Linked DNA regions of Rhinolophus ferrumequinum. The protein of the gene in region 1 purifies or fractionates together with the protein of each later gene. This does not show direct contact. Links are inferred from orthologs where the notes say so. Each region holds a gene or a part of one and is shown in the gene's direction. Other genes may lie near its edges.

The links. Proteins that work in one complex are often made in the same cells at the same time.
Region 2: the proteins of TESK1 (region 1) and RABEPK purify together in Homo sapiens (affinity purification with mass spectrometry; 3 studies listed by BioGRID and IntAct, with this or other methods). This does not show direct contact. The link is inferred for Rhinolophus ferrumequinum from reciprocal best matches to the Homo sapiens genes TESK1 and RABEPK.

Annotation. Positions count from the first base shown.
Region 1 is NC_046295.1:51,807,472-51,814,601, forward strand, and holds the start of TESK1 (dual specificity testis-specific protein kinase 1), read left to right. Parts: upstream 1-4,121; 5' UTR 4,122-5,175; coding exon 5,176-5,394; intron 5,395-5,513; coding exon 5,514-5,635; intron 5,636-5,770; coding exon 5,771-5,819; intron 5,820-6,316; coding exon 6,317-6,463; intron 6,464-6,800; coding exon 6,801-6,883; intron 6,884-7,041; coding exon 7,042-7,130. UniProt on the Homo sapiens protein: Dual specificity protein kinase activity catalyzing autophosphorylation and phosphorylation of exogenous substrates on both serine/threonine and tyrosine residues.
Region 2 is NC_046295.1:74,837,685-74,844,790, forward strand, and holds the start of RABEPK (rab9 effector protein with kelch motifs), read left to right. Parts: upstream 1-4,097; 5' UTR 4,098-4,273; intron 4,274-6,050; exon of another isoform or gene 6,051-6,199; intron 6,200-7,106. Other genes in the region: PPP6C (serine/threonine-protein phosphatase 6 catalytic subunit), read right to left, coding at 3,731-3,805. UniProt on the Homo sapiens protein: Rab9 effector required for endosome to trans-Golgi network (TGN) transport.

The DNA of each region.
Region 1 (7,130 bases):
ACCTTATTGGTGCGTTTTGGAGGACACTAGGAAACCAACTCACAATGAGATACCACTGAGATACCGTTAGAATGGCTATTATCAACAAGAGAAGTAATAACAAGTGTTGGAGAGATTGTGGAGAGAAAGGAACCTTTATACACTACTGGTGGGAATGTAAATTGGTACAGCCACTGTGGAAAACAGTGTGGAGGTTCCTCAAAAAATTAAAAACAGAATTACCATATATCCCAGCAATCCCTCTTCTGGGAATCTAGCCAAAAAAATCTTAAAACGTTTATCCACAAAGATGTATGTACCCCTATGTTCAATGCAGCATTATTCACTGTGGCCGAGACATGGAAACAACCAGAGTCCTTCAACAGAAGATTGGATAAAGATGTGGTACATATACACAATGGAATATTACTCGGTCATAAGAAAAGATGAAATAGTGCCATTTGCGACAACATGCTAAGTGAAATAAGTCAGACAGAAAAAGTTAAGAATCATATAACTTCACTCGTATGTGGGATATAAAACTGAAAGCAACAAACAAACAAAAAATCATCAACACAGACAGCAGTTTAGCAGTTACCAGAGCGTAAGGGGGTTGGTAGAGGAGGGTAAAGGAGATTAGATACATGGTGATGGAAGGAGAACTAACTCTGGGTGATAAACACACAGTGCAGTATCTAGATGATGTATTATAGAATTGTACACTTGAAACCTATATAATTTTACTAAACAATGTGACCCCAATAAATTTAATAAATGTTTTTTTTTTAAGTTGGTAAAATAAAAAAAAGAGAATCAAGGATTTTTCTTGCCTTTCCTACATGAAATATACCTCTGAGGAACAAACAGGTAAAGTTTCTCTTTGTAGATATATTTATTCCATGAAGAAGGGTAGAATGAGAATATTATTTTCTAGTCCTATATTAATAAACTAGACCAGTGGTTCTCAGTCAGGGACATTTTGCCGCCTGGGAGATAACTGACAATGTCTAGGGACAATTTCGGTTGTCACAATTGGGGGAGTTGCTACTGGCATCCAGTGGGTAGAGGCCAGCATGCTACTAAACATCGTACATTGCACACAACAGCTCCCCACAAGAAAGAATATCCTGCCCAGGATGTCAGCAGGGCTGAGTTTGAGCCACACTCTACACAATCATCCTCATTAGTTACTAACATCACGAAAAGACCACCACTGTGCCTCCTGATAGAAGTACTAAAACCACCTATGAATTAGTTTTCAGAAATAATCTAAGTCTAATTAAGTCTCTAACTACCATTTCACAGGAAATACAGGGGACTGAGGAACATGCTAAGTTACATCAGAAGCTCAACAAATTCAGACTTTGAGAAACTACAGGACAAATGATCTGGTTTCTTACAAAATAAATAGAAAGAGAAAAACAATGGAGGATGGACTTAAAGATTTAAAAAGATTTAAGAAACATATCAGCTGAGAAGTATGGACCTTACTCAGCTTTTGATTCAAATAAACAATTTTTAAAAAGTAAATATTTATGAAACAGTGGGGGAAATGGGAACAACCAAATGCGTGATGGTATTAATAAATGACTGTTAACTTTTGTACTGTGATTTTGTTTAAAAGAAGAATCCTTATCTTTTAGAGATAACATACTGAAATATTTGTTGATGAATTGATATAATGTCAGAAATATGCACCAAATAACTGGGAGTGGGGGGAAGAGAGCAGGGGTATGAAACAAGACTGGCCAGGAATTGATCATTGGAGAATCACTGGCATAGAAGGTACATGAAAGCTGGTACTTTGACTGAGCCAGCTCACTTATGGCAACAGTACAACTGAAGCACGGGTCTCCAACAAAACAGCCTTACTCACCCAAGGTAAATAAGGGCTCATTGTTCTATTCTCTCTGCTCTTTCTTTTTTTGTTTGACATTTTCCACCACAAAAAAGTTTGAAAAACAACAAAAAAATCTTCTAATAGCCTAACTCAAGGAACATTTAAAACTTGTTTTAGCAGACCCCTCTGCACTATTTAATGCTATTCGTTACTCCATTTTTCCCAAACTCTCCATTCCGTGGATACCATGGCAGCAGACTCTCCAGATTCTTTCAGCTTGTCTCTTCTCATCCTCCATCACGGACTTCTTTTACTCCGTCTGCCCTTTAATGTTGGTTTTTCCCAGGATTTCACTGTCCGTCTATTTCTCCCTCTGTACACTCCACTTGGATGATGGCATCCACCTTCATAGTTTTCTTTACCATCACCTCTTTGTTTATGGCAATTGTTTACCTTCCTCCACTCAACCTTTCCTCCTCCTGGATTCTTTTTTTTTTTTTTAAGATTTTTATTGGGGAAGGGGAACAGGACTTTATTGGGGAACAGTGTGTACTTTCAGGACTTTTTTTTTCCAAGTCAAGTTGTTGTCCTTTCAGTCTTAGTTGTGGAGGGAACAGCTCAGCTCCAGGTCCAGTTGCCATTGCTAGTTGCAGGGGGTGCAGCCCACCATCCCTTGCGGGACTCGAGGAGTTGAACTGGCAACCTTGTGGTTGAGAGCCCACTGGCCCATGTGGGAATCGAACCGGCAGCCTTCGGAGTTAGGAGCATGGAGCATGGAGCTCTAACCGCCTGAGCCACCGGGCAGGTCCCTCCTCCTCCTGGATTCTTTATCTCAGTTGATATCACCCCATCGTCTAAGCTAGAAATTTTAAAATTACTATGACTGATGCTCTTTCTCTCCACAGGACTGACTCTGGATACTAATCAATCAGCACGTTTTCCCACTACTTGAGTGTTTCCTCCTGTCCTTCCCTATTATCTCTATCTTAGTTCCGTCCCCTATCCTCTCCTGACTGAAGCACTGTCAGAGCCTCCTTCTGATAAGTCTCACTGCCGCCAAAGCAGGAACCTGGCTCCTCTGCTTGGAATCTCCATCACTAGCCATAGTATAATTCTCAAATTTGGATAAAGGGTCAGGTACATGTCAATTAAGTTGTCTAGCATGATATTACTTAAACAAAATGAGGCATAAATTCCTAGTGTTTATAGATCTCATTCTTCTATAGAAAGCAAATTTACAAATTACGTAATTGTAGATGTTAACATTAATTTAATGCGATGAATGAGCTTGTTTTGCTGAGACCAAATTGCCTCTGGAAGATTGAGTACGCCGCACATGGTCCAGGCACAGGTTGCTCTCCGGACTGGCCTTTCTCCACTGACTCTGGAAGGACTGAATCTCTCCTGCTCGCCCCTCCAAACATACGCGAAATCTTCCCTCACCGAGACAGCATCTGGCCTTCTCTCCACCCTAACGTATCGTTTATAATTTAAGGCTGAGTATTCTTTTCTCATTAGCCCTTGACAACTAAAAGAGTACTTGGCCCCAACTCACAAACATGGGACAGAACTCTGTTAGAAGGCGGTCCCCACACGGATGTGGACTGTGTCTTTATTTTCTTTTTAGCTTACCACAGAAATAGAAATACAGTACTTTAGAATTTTTGAAGAGAATTCAGCCTCGCTTCAAAGCTCTGTCGCCGCCTGTTTCCCTCCCGAGGCCCACAGCCTCCATTCCCGCCGCCCGCCATTCCCCCGCTAGGTGGCGCTCACTGACGCCCACGACCGCCCGCCCGGGAGCAGTCCGCCCGGATCGAGCTACCCATCACCCACCCTTGGCGATGACTGGCTATTTCGCCGAGGGCTGGGGGAAGAGCCAGCGGAGACGCAGAAGCATCGAGTATGGCGAGTGCACAGGCTCCTGTGACAGTGCGTGCGCATTCAGGGCCTCGAGCTGGTTTAGACGCCAGCGGCAGCTCCTCCGCCGGCCTGAGGGGGCAGACCGGATTCCTCTGTGATGGAAGGCGGAACCTGCTGAGGGGTCACACTGATAAGGGCTGGGCCACACTGAGGGGAGGAGTCACGTTGAGAGGCGGAGTCACAATGACCGGCGGAGTCACTGAGAGGTGGGGTCTCTGCGTGGGAGAAATACACGAGAGGGGGGTGTCGCACGGAGGGGTTCTGGTACATACTGATGTTGCCAGTGTCATACTGAGGAAAGGTCCCGCTGAAGGGGAGGGGTCTCACTGAGGCAGAGCGGGGTCTTGAGGGAAAGGGCCCCTTGAGGAGCTGGGATTGGCCGAGGGGCGGGATCTGGCGGAAGGAGGGGCTTCCCTGTAGTTGGAGGCTTCTCTTTTGAGACAGAGGGTCATTGGGACGAAATAGTCCAGGCTGTGGGTCTCTAGGCGGAGGCTCTGCGATTTGAACTTTATTAAACGAGGGAGGTGGGATGGAGTGAGGAGTCGGGACTACAATAGGGATGCGCTGGCCAAGGGCTCACTACAGCCCTGAGGCATCACAGCCGCCCGAAAAGGAAGAAAAGTGTGACGGAGTCCAGAGGTTCAAGGTGTAGGAGTGGAGACCTGGGAAGTGGGCAGGCTGGGCCGGGGCAGCGGCCAACGAGGAGAGCAGGTTACTGGGCTGCCTTCGATTGTGGCTGGCCGGAGGGGTCGACTTTTCTTCCCTGCTGGTCCGTGTAGCCCAGGAATCTGGCGGCTTCCTGAGCCCGGTCCTCAAATGACAGTGACCTGAGGATGGGAGGGGAGAAAGGTCTCCCTGGACAGCTAAAAGACACTTGAGCCACACGTACGCACAATCAGCCCTTCTCCCTGCGTTGATTCAGCTCGGGCCTGAACTGATTTGACCCCGACGCCCCAGACCCACTCGCCTAGGGCGTCGCCGCCAGCGGTTGGGGGTGCGTACCTGAGGGGGCGTGGCCGCTGCCTGAGGGCCGGGCTGGAAGGAGTTAAGCGGAGGCCCGGCTCAGCCCCGCCCCCGGCAGGCCGCGGAGCCTGAGCCCCAGCGGCGAAGAGGAGCACCGCCGCTGCCGCCGGCGCGCCCGCCCGCCTCCGCCTGCGGGGAGCCCTCCTGCCAGCCGGCGCCCGGGAGCGCCACCGCCACCGCCCGGCCCAGGCCCAGGCCCTGCGCAGAGCGGAGCGGAGCGGCGTCCACCCGGGCCCAGCAAGCCGGCGCGGCGGGGGCGGGCCCAGAATCTTCAGCGGATCTTCCATTCTCTAAGGCGGGAGCGGGAGCCCCGGCGCCCCGGATCGGGCTGGGCCCGCGCCCATGGCTAGCACGGCCTGCCCGGGCCCCGGGGACCCTGCCATGTGAGGCAGGCCCGGGCTGGGGGCCCGGCCATGGCCGGGGAACGGCCCCCACTGCGGGGCCCTGGACCCGGGCCGGGAGAGGCGCCGGGGGAGGGGCCCCCGGGGCCGGGGAGCGCGGGTGCAGGCCCGGGCCGGGGCCGCCCCTCCTCCTACCGGGCGCTCCGCAGCGCGGTGTCCAGCCTTGCGCGCGTGGACGATTTCCACTGCGCGGAGAAGATCGGGGCCGGCTTCTTCTCTGAGGTCTACAAGGTAGGACCAGCAGAGAGGGCAGAGGGGCGGGACCGAGCCTTAGACGGGAGGCTGGAGATACGGGCCCAGTCCCGGGAGACCTGCCCGACCTACCCGGGATTCGCCTCTGCCGCCCCCAGGTTCGGCACCGACAGTCAGGGCAAGTCATGGTGCTGAAAATGAACAGGCTCCCCAGTAACCGGGGAAACACGCTACGGGAGGTGCAGCTGATGAACCAGCTCCGGCACCCCAACATCCTAAGGTGAGCGGGTCCCAGCCGCTTGCTGGGAAGCTTGCTGGGGGAAGGGGAAAGATCCCGCTGGAAAAGTGGGAACTGCGGGAGATGGGGGGCAGGGCTCTTACAGCCTACCCTCCTATCTTCCCTCCCCTCTTCCAGGTTCATGGGGGTCTGTGTCCACCAGGGGCAGCTGCACGCTCTTACAGAGGTGAGGATGGGCCAGAAAGGGGGGACTCCCACCACCACCAAAAGGAGAGTCAGGGCCAGGTGCTTCTACAGAGGAATAGTGAGAGGCAGCAGGACCTCCTCCCAGGGAGGCTGCCCTGAACTTCCCTTTGGGCAAGCCACAAATAAAAGGCCTCAGCTGTTCTCATCCTCTCTATCCTCTAGAACACTGCTGTCCAATAGAACTTTCTGTAGCGATGAAAATGTTCTATATCTGTGATGTCCAAAACTGTAGCCACATGTGGCTAGGGAGCACTGGAAACGTGACTAGTGTGACTGAGGAACCGAATGTTTAATTTTATTTAAACTTAATACTTTAAATGTAAATCGCTGTACATGTATGGGACAGAACACCCCTAGAGCACGGGCTCACCCTTCTGACCTTTGTGATCCTCAGTGTCCGTTGGCTTATAAGTGGGAGACTAGAGTACAGACTGAAACCTTGACGTTCATTCCCCTTCTCTTCCCCCTATGTCCCAGTACATGAATGGGGGGACCTTGGAACAGCTTCTCAGCTCCCCTGAACCCCTCTCCTGGCCTGTCAGGCTCCGCCTGGCTCTGGACATTGCCCACGGCCTGCGCTACCTGCACGCCAAAGGTGTATTCCACCGAGACCTCACATCCAAGGTAGGCTGGCCAATGGGTGGAGGCATGAAGTGGGGTTTGAGACTGTTAGGTCGTCACTAGCCCATGGATGTTGGAATGTGAATAACAGGTATGTTAGGATGTTAGAGTAGCAAGGCGTTGGAGAATGGGGCCTGGATTGAGGGGGTGTGCTCTGAGGGACTGAGTACCACACTGTGTTTTGGAGTGACAGATGATGCTGCAAGATTGGGGTGCACTGGAGAACTGGGAGGTCAGAGAGCCTTGGGCTTATTGTGGAATGACAGAGCTTTGGGTATAGCCTGGGAGAGGGAAGAGCAGAACGTGATGGGTGTGTGGGGATGCTGTATGTGTACGTCAGAACTGTCTGATCCGACGGGAAGACCAAGGCTTCACAGCTGTCGTGGGCGACTTCGGGCTGGCTGAGAAGATCCCTGTGTATAGGTGAGGTAAACACCCCTGTCCCCTAAGCCTCTAGAAGACCCCTAGCTAAAGGAAGCCCCCGGGGACATTTCCCTTGGTTGGGGAGGGGCCGACCTTCTCTTCTGTTTGGGGGGATGTCTGAGTGGGGTGTTTCTCACCACTCTGCCCCTGCCCTACAGGGAGGGGGCACGGAAGGAGCCATTGGCTGTGGTGGGTTCTCCGTACTGGATGGCTCCAGAGGTGTTGCGGGGTGAGCTGTATGATGAGA
Region 2 (7,106 bases), about 23 Mb from region 1:
CCTAAAAAAACTATCAACTGTATCAGAAAGAGCCCTGCAGAAGGAAGTTTTCTAACCTAATTCATGGATTAGCTGGACATTCTCAGGCAGATCATAACTGTACAAAGCGCAGTTCCCCCCTCAGTAAAGTAAGGAGGGTACAGAATTAGATGAACTCCGATTCCCTCTGAGCTCTGAAATCCTAGGAAATGGACTGGGGAATCGTTACAGGTGTGCACTGTCCTATCTGATACCTACAACCACAAGTAGCTATTCAGCACCTGAAATGTGACTGGTCTGAATTGCGATGTGTCATAAACATAAAATATATACCATATTTCATAGACTTAGTACAAAAAAGGGCAAAATATTGCATTAGTAATTTTATATTGATTACATGCTGAAATTAGGTTAAATAAAATATTTAGGTTAATAAATTAGGTTAATAAAAATTACTAAACTTAATTTCACCTGTTCCTTTTTAGTTTTTAAAAATGTGACAATTTGAGGCTCACACTCTGAACATTTGATTTCTACTAGACAGCACTGTTATAGACTATTTTCAGAAGACATAGGAAAATGTGACTCTGTGGCCAAAGAGACAAACAAAATGCAAAGCATTATCAAAAAGAGTCTTGAAAACACAAAAACACTCTTCTGGCCCTATATAAAACCATGGTGTGTCCCTCAGTCCTGTACTGTTTAGTTTTCCTTTCAGTACTTGAAGAAAGATACAACGCAAAACAAAACTCAAGTAAACAGAATGATCAATAAGATAGGCAATAAGGTGAGTAACAAGACTCACAGGCATGTATGGAAGGATACAAGTACAGGAGCATAAAGACTACAATATGTGATAAGAATCGATAAAATCAGATAGAGGCTGAATGAGAAGGTATTAAAGGCTGTTCAACAAATGTCATAAAAAAGCCAGGGAGAATTCTTTGAACCTTTATGGAGGCATTTCAGACAGAGGTACAACTGTGCAGAGCAGGTAGCCTTATATGAAAAACTTAGGAGATGGCTCAGACTAAACATAAAAGTGAGTTCCAAAAAAAATTACATTAACAATTAATCCATAAAAGTGGTTACTATGGAATCACACAATTCCTTGTGTTGCATCTCTGAGACAGACACTAGTATTCTCCAACCCCTACCATGGTAACTCTCTTTGGTTCCTCAGTGAAAAAAAACTGTACACCAACTCAGTGTGCAATTTCTTTGCTTACATGTCACCTTTAAGAACTATCCAAGAGATCAGACAATCTCCAACTTATAAAACCCATCCCCTGCCAAAGTATTTAAGTTGAAGTATTCAGTGAAACAGTCTTTTATCATTCATTCTTCCACTTGATCAGATCAGTCTACCTATGTCTTCTATGATCAGCTCTGAATCCTTATGGATGAGAATCACATGAGCTCTTTTTAAAGAAAGGGTATGCTTTGGTCCACTCACTTTTATAGTTCATTCTTATTCCTGCGAAACAGTTACGAAGATTCGATTGTGTACTAGTGACATGACCACTTACAATTTAGGTGTAGAGAAATCATGATTAGATCTAGAGCATCTTATACATTTAGTATTTTACTTAGTACCTCCAACTTAAAGTCAATTTAAAACACACTGAATTTCTGCCTTTTCTACCAGAACAAATCTTTTCCATAATGATCATTACGTGATCCCAGTGATTTCTTTTCTTCCTCTTACAGAATCTTTTATTTTGGCTTTAAAGCCTTAGAAAAGGTACTCCTGGAATACTTTCTTGGACTGCCTAATTTTAGTTTGCACTTCATGCCAAGAAGAAACAAAATTAAATTTCTTTAAATACACCAGAGATGAGCATACATCACAAGCAAATTAATCTGATAAAAATATTTCCAAGACAAAGAAGAAAAGCCTCCCCTTATTTAAAAAAAAATTCAGAATTTTTCCCTCAGTAGATTTTTTTAAATTTATTAATAACTAGATACATGCTAAGTATACGCCAATTGTGTTGCAAAGGGAAATGAAATGGTTTAAGAACTATTTTTCCTTAAGGTTGGAAGGAACTCTAACGTTTATCAAACTAAGAGGTCTAAAGAAAATCCAACTGATGTATCATCCAAATAATTTCAATATCAATTTCAAGTTAATATCAAGACACATTTTCATAATAAGCAACATTTTACTAATTATAAACACAAAGCTTAAAACTGCTTTACAGATGCTAAAGAATAGAAAATTTCACATCAATTCACTGACAAAAAAACAATAACTTCACCCATGGGATTAACAATGTTACCAAAAGATGTCTGGTTAGATTTCCATGAACTGGATACCAGTGTTGGTTGTATCCTTGTTTCCTTAAAAAGCATATAGCAGAAAGAAGCCACAAAGGACTCAGATGAACATGAAAGCTGCATTTCTACTAATACTGGCTTTGTCCTCCTTTTAATTAAATTATCCTATTCGTATATGTGCTGCCGAAGCGAGCACTAAATTATCCTATTAAAAAGGGGGACATGCACAAGAATGACTCCCCTATCATATAGCATATATTTACCTATAAGTACAATAAGTTACATTAAGGTCCTTTGGCCTTCAAGATTTTGCATACTTTTTGACTGACATTAAACATCAACTTCCTGCATCAAAAGGGCAAAACAAAAAAACCAGTAACATCTTCCTTAAAAGAAAAAAATTCACGGACAAAGATGAATTGCTTTAAACCCACAGCTTAAAAGTATAAAAAAAAATTCATAACTACACAGTTTACCCACTTACCACATACAAACCAAAGTTAACTGAAAAAAATAAAAGACAGTAGCCCTACTAACCGCTATATGCTGCTGACACCTAAACACCGGTTTTAACAAACGCACAGAAATAGAAACACTTGTCAAAGACTGACGTTTATTCCTTTACCCACACATACTTTACTGTTACTTGGACTTGGCAGTAACAAAAAACTCGCCTCCTTTAGTAAACCAAAAAAATGAAATATTGGGTTAAGAAAGGATTATGGAGAAACACCTTAAAGGACAGAAAAGTATTTGTATTTATTGAGGGCCTACTAAATTACCCACTTATATTAGTTTTACCCACTTAAATTAGCTCAACAACATACTTGCAAATGGAATTCATATCTGAGCTGGCAGAAGAAAACCAACACTCCTGAAAAGCAGCTGGGAGGAGTGGTAGGAAAAGAGGGACGACTTGACGTTTTCCCGCATCACCACCAAACCGCTCCCGCCCACCGTCTTCCAGTCCTCAGGAACCCAAACACGCTGACTGAGGACGCGTTCCGGAGGCCGGCGGCATCTCCTGTCATTCGCCAGCCACCCAGACCTCCTGTCATATTTGGGGGGATGACCCATTCCGAGGGCACTGCCTGCTGGGGCTCGGTTCGGACTCCGGAAGACCGGAGATGGAGTTAGGGGCGAGAAGACTTCTGTTCCAAGCACAGCTGTGAGGGCTCAGTGCCCCGGGACACCCGAAAGCCAGGGGGGATAACCCTGGGACAGAGGCCGCGACATCCCTCAGGATCCCCACTACGGAACTGGGACAGCATTCGGGGGACTATGGCTCCGCTCCCTCCGCTCTCCGCAAGAAGGCAAGTCGGAACGGGTCGCTCAGCACTGCGTCAGGCCCTCCATCGTGACGGGACGGGATGCTGGCGGGGGTCCGGGGTAGAGAAGGGCGGGCCGGCGGGCGCCCCACTGCCGGAAGGGGCGAGCCCGCCAGCAGCGCTCCCGCCCCGACCGGGCTCACCTTCAGGTCGTTCTCCGGTAGGTACTTGCACAGCCGCGCTATCTCCACATACTTGTCCAAGTCTAGGGGCGCCATTTTAGAAATAACAAGCCCGGACGGCGGCGGCGGCGGCGGCGGCTGGAGTATCGGCGGCAGCGGCAAAGGCCGAAGCCGGAACTCTTCCTACGTCACGTCCGGCCCGTGAGAGGCATCTGCGCAGCGGCGTAAAGCTTGACCCGATTCTCCCCGCTGCTTCGGCACGCCCCGATCCTTCTCCCGCTGAACGCAGGCTGCGGGCCCTAAGGGGCTCCCTGGCTACATAAAATGAAACCGGCTGCGACCCGTAGTTGTCTGCCGCTGAGAGGGATGGGATTTGTAGTTTTCAGTAGCGGCCAACTACGCCTCTTTTCCTCCTCTTCCCTTCCTCCAGACTTTAACGTCTGGGGACCCAACGAGGCTTTTCCGATGCAAAACGGCGAAGTATGTGACTCTAGTCATTCCCTGGTTTCCCACTACGACTCATTTAAGCATTCTGTCACGAGAACATCTTCAATTAAAAATTAGGTAAGCTTGGCCGTAGTAATCTGTTTGCACCTTTCCGAGGCCTTGTGAAAACCTTGCCTAAATCTGTGGCAGAGATGTCAGGCTACGAATCTTCCAGCCTGGAAGGAAGCGAAACAAATATTAAAGCGTTTTTTATGCCACATGCTATATAAATGCTGTTTTTCCTCATAATGATTGATAGGAAAGCAAGGCTCAGAGAGGTTAATTTTCCCAAGTTTCAAAGGGAATAGGCGCGGGAGCCAGGATTGGAACACGGGTCTAGCTGGTTTAAATATACTTCAGTGTGAATCCCATGCGAGCACGTAGTTTTTGTTGTACCCTCAGTTCCAAGAACAGGATCTGGCACTAAGTACCTTCAATATTCGTTCATTCAACAGCTTTTACTGAACACCAACTATGTGCCAGGTACAGCTGTCGACACTTGGGATATTCAGCAAACAAAATAGACGAAGATCCCTATCCTCAACCCATAGCTACTTTGTAGTAGAGGAGACAGAACATAAGCAATAAATATCATAAATATATAGTATATTTAAAAGTAATCAAGTGCTGGGAGGGGGGAAGCACAGCATGATAAGGGAGGTGAGATGATGCATTTTTAAGAACCAACAAAGAGGTGGGGGAGTTAGCCAGCAGATACTAGAGGGGAGTTATGAGAAAGAGCTAACACAAAGGCCTTAAGATGGAAGCATATCTAGAACCTTGGAAATGGCAAAAAAAATTAGTGTGGTTGGAGCAAAGTGAGAAGAGGAGATGTGAGAAAAGAATGTTGTTGTTTTTGTTTTGTTTTGTTTTTACTGATTTTTACTTTTAATGTAACGGAGTTACTGCAGGGTTTTGAGCAGAGGAGTAGTAACATCATCTAACTCATTTTAGAAGGATCTGGTGCAATATGAAACTAGGAGGCAATGGTTGCAGCTGAGAGACGAGTTAGGAGACTGTTACATAATCCAATAGTAGCAGGTTCTCAATCTATATTTGTTACTCAAGTGGCCCTGGACTGGATCCTCTTGTTCTACAATGTAGTTGGGGGACATTTGGCTAAAATTTAATCAAGTCTCTGGGTGGAGTTCTTCATATATTTCTTGTAACTGTTCTGTAAGTATAATATCATTTCTAGTAAAATTAATTTTTTAAAATTGGTTGCACAATGAATGATGCTCACAAACATACATTTCTTCATTTGTTCAATAATAGTTACATAGTACCTATGATGTGAATGATACAGGAGACAAACAATAAACATAAATGAGCACGTAATTAAATGCAAAGTGTGATTACTGTTAAAGAGGGAAAGAAGGGGTACTGTGAGTTAAAAAATGGAGGAGAGGCCTATTTTAAGATTGTCAAGATAGTGGAGGTTAAGTGTGCAGACTCTAGAACCAGAGTTCAAGTCTATTACTCACTGTATCACTTTGGCAAAGTTATTTATCTTTTCTGTGCTCCAGTTTTCTCAGCTACAATATGGAGATAGTAATAAGTGCCTACCCCATACGGAGATGTTCAGAGTAATACTTTATAGGCTTGTACTAAGGTTTAATAAATTTAATATGTGGAAAGGGGTTAAAACGATGTCATGTCCAGAGTGAGTGCAATGTGAGTGTTAGCTCTTCAGCATTGGACGGCAGGAAAGGCCTTTCTGAAGAGGTAACATTTAAGACTTTAGGGGGAAAAAGTATAAGGGAGAATATGCTCAAAATATCTTGAAGAAAAAAATTCCAAGTGAGGAAAATATGCTACTGTTGACTTTTTTTTTTTTATACTCCTCTTTGGAAAGCTGGCAGTTCACTTTTCATCTCTGCACCTCAGTAACTGGGAATGAATCCTACTCAAGATACTATCTCAGAATTGGGAAGGAGGACAAAGTGCTTGAAAGGAAAGTGTCACCGGCATCATTGCTTCCCTTGCTGATAAGCCAGTGATCAGGTAGGTAATGAAAGCATATGAGATCCTTTCCAGTGAAAATAACTGGTAGTCCTCACATTACCAAATTGTCTGGCAGCAAGAAGCTCCATCCTGCAGACCCACCTTATTCGGTGACCCTCACTGTTCACATGAGGAGCATAGAGAAAGGAGGAAGGTATCCCTGAATGGTGGGTGAGTTCTTAGAAGAGGTAATAGACACATTGGGTGGTTTGTTACACAGACAGTGAGTGTACAGAGCTTGCTGACTGGAATATGTCATTAGTCTTCCTTGCACAAAGCAGAAGATCTGGGCTCCTGGTTCTGCCATTTGTGTGAGTTAGTCATTTTAACTTATCTGGGCCTTGATTTCCATTTTAAAAATAGATCTCAAAAGTTCCTTCTAGCACTTTCTGAAATGTGATTTCTAGTCTAAAAGCATAGGTCCCACAATGAAAACTGTTTGCTATTTTGCCCACAAACCTCTTCCAGTTTTTCTTGTTTATGTGCAACTCCAGCATGGTATTTTGAAAAGTACTTTGAAAAGCCAAAAGACATAGGGGACATCAGAGCATTCTACAACTCTAAGCAGAAATCTCCATCTAGATGCACATGGACATATGGCAGAGCCAACCTGCCCTTGGCTTCCTTTCCTGAAGGAGAGCAGAATGACTAAATACCCCTAAACTCCTCTTTGGCAGTCAGTGGAGATTTTCCCATTAATATGAGAACTCACAAAGACTCCAGGTGTTTGAAATAGGATGTTTGAGCAGTGAAGAGAACTGCAGACCATATTGTCAATAAATTTTCATTATAGTTTCAAGTAACCAAAATATTTACCAAGTTGGCCTTTCACCTGTACTATCCAACACTCTCAACTGCTTCCTCTGAGGTAGGTGTTACTATTCCCATTCTGTAGATGATGAAACTA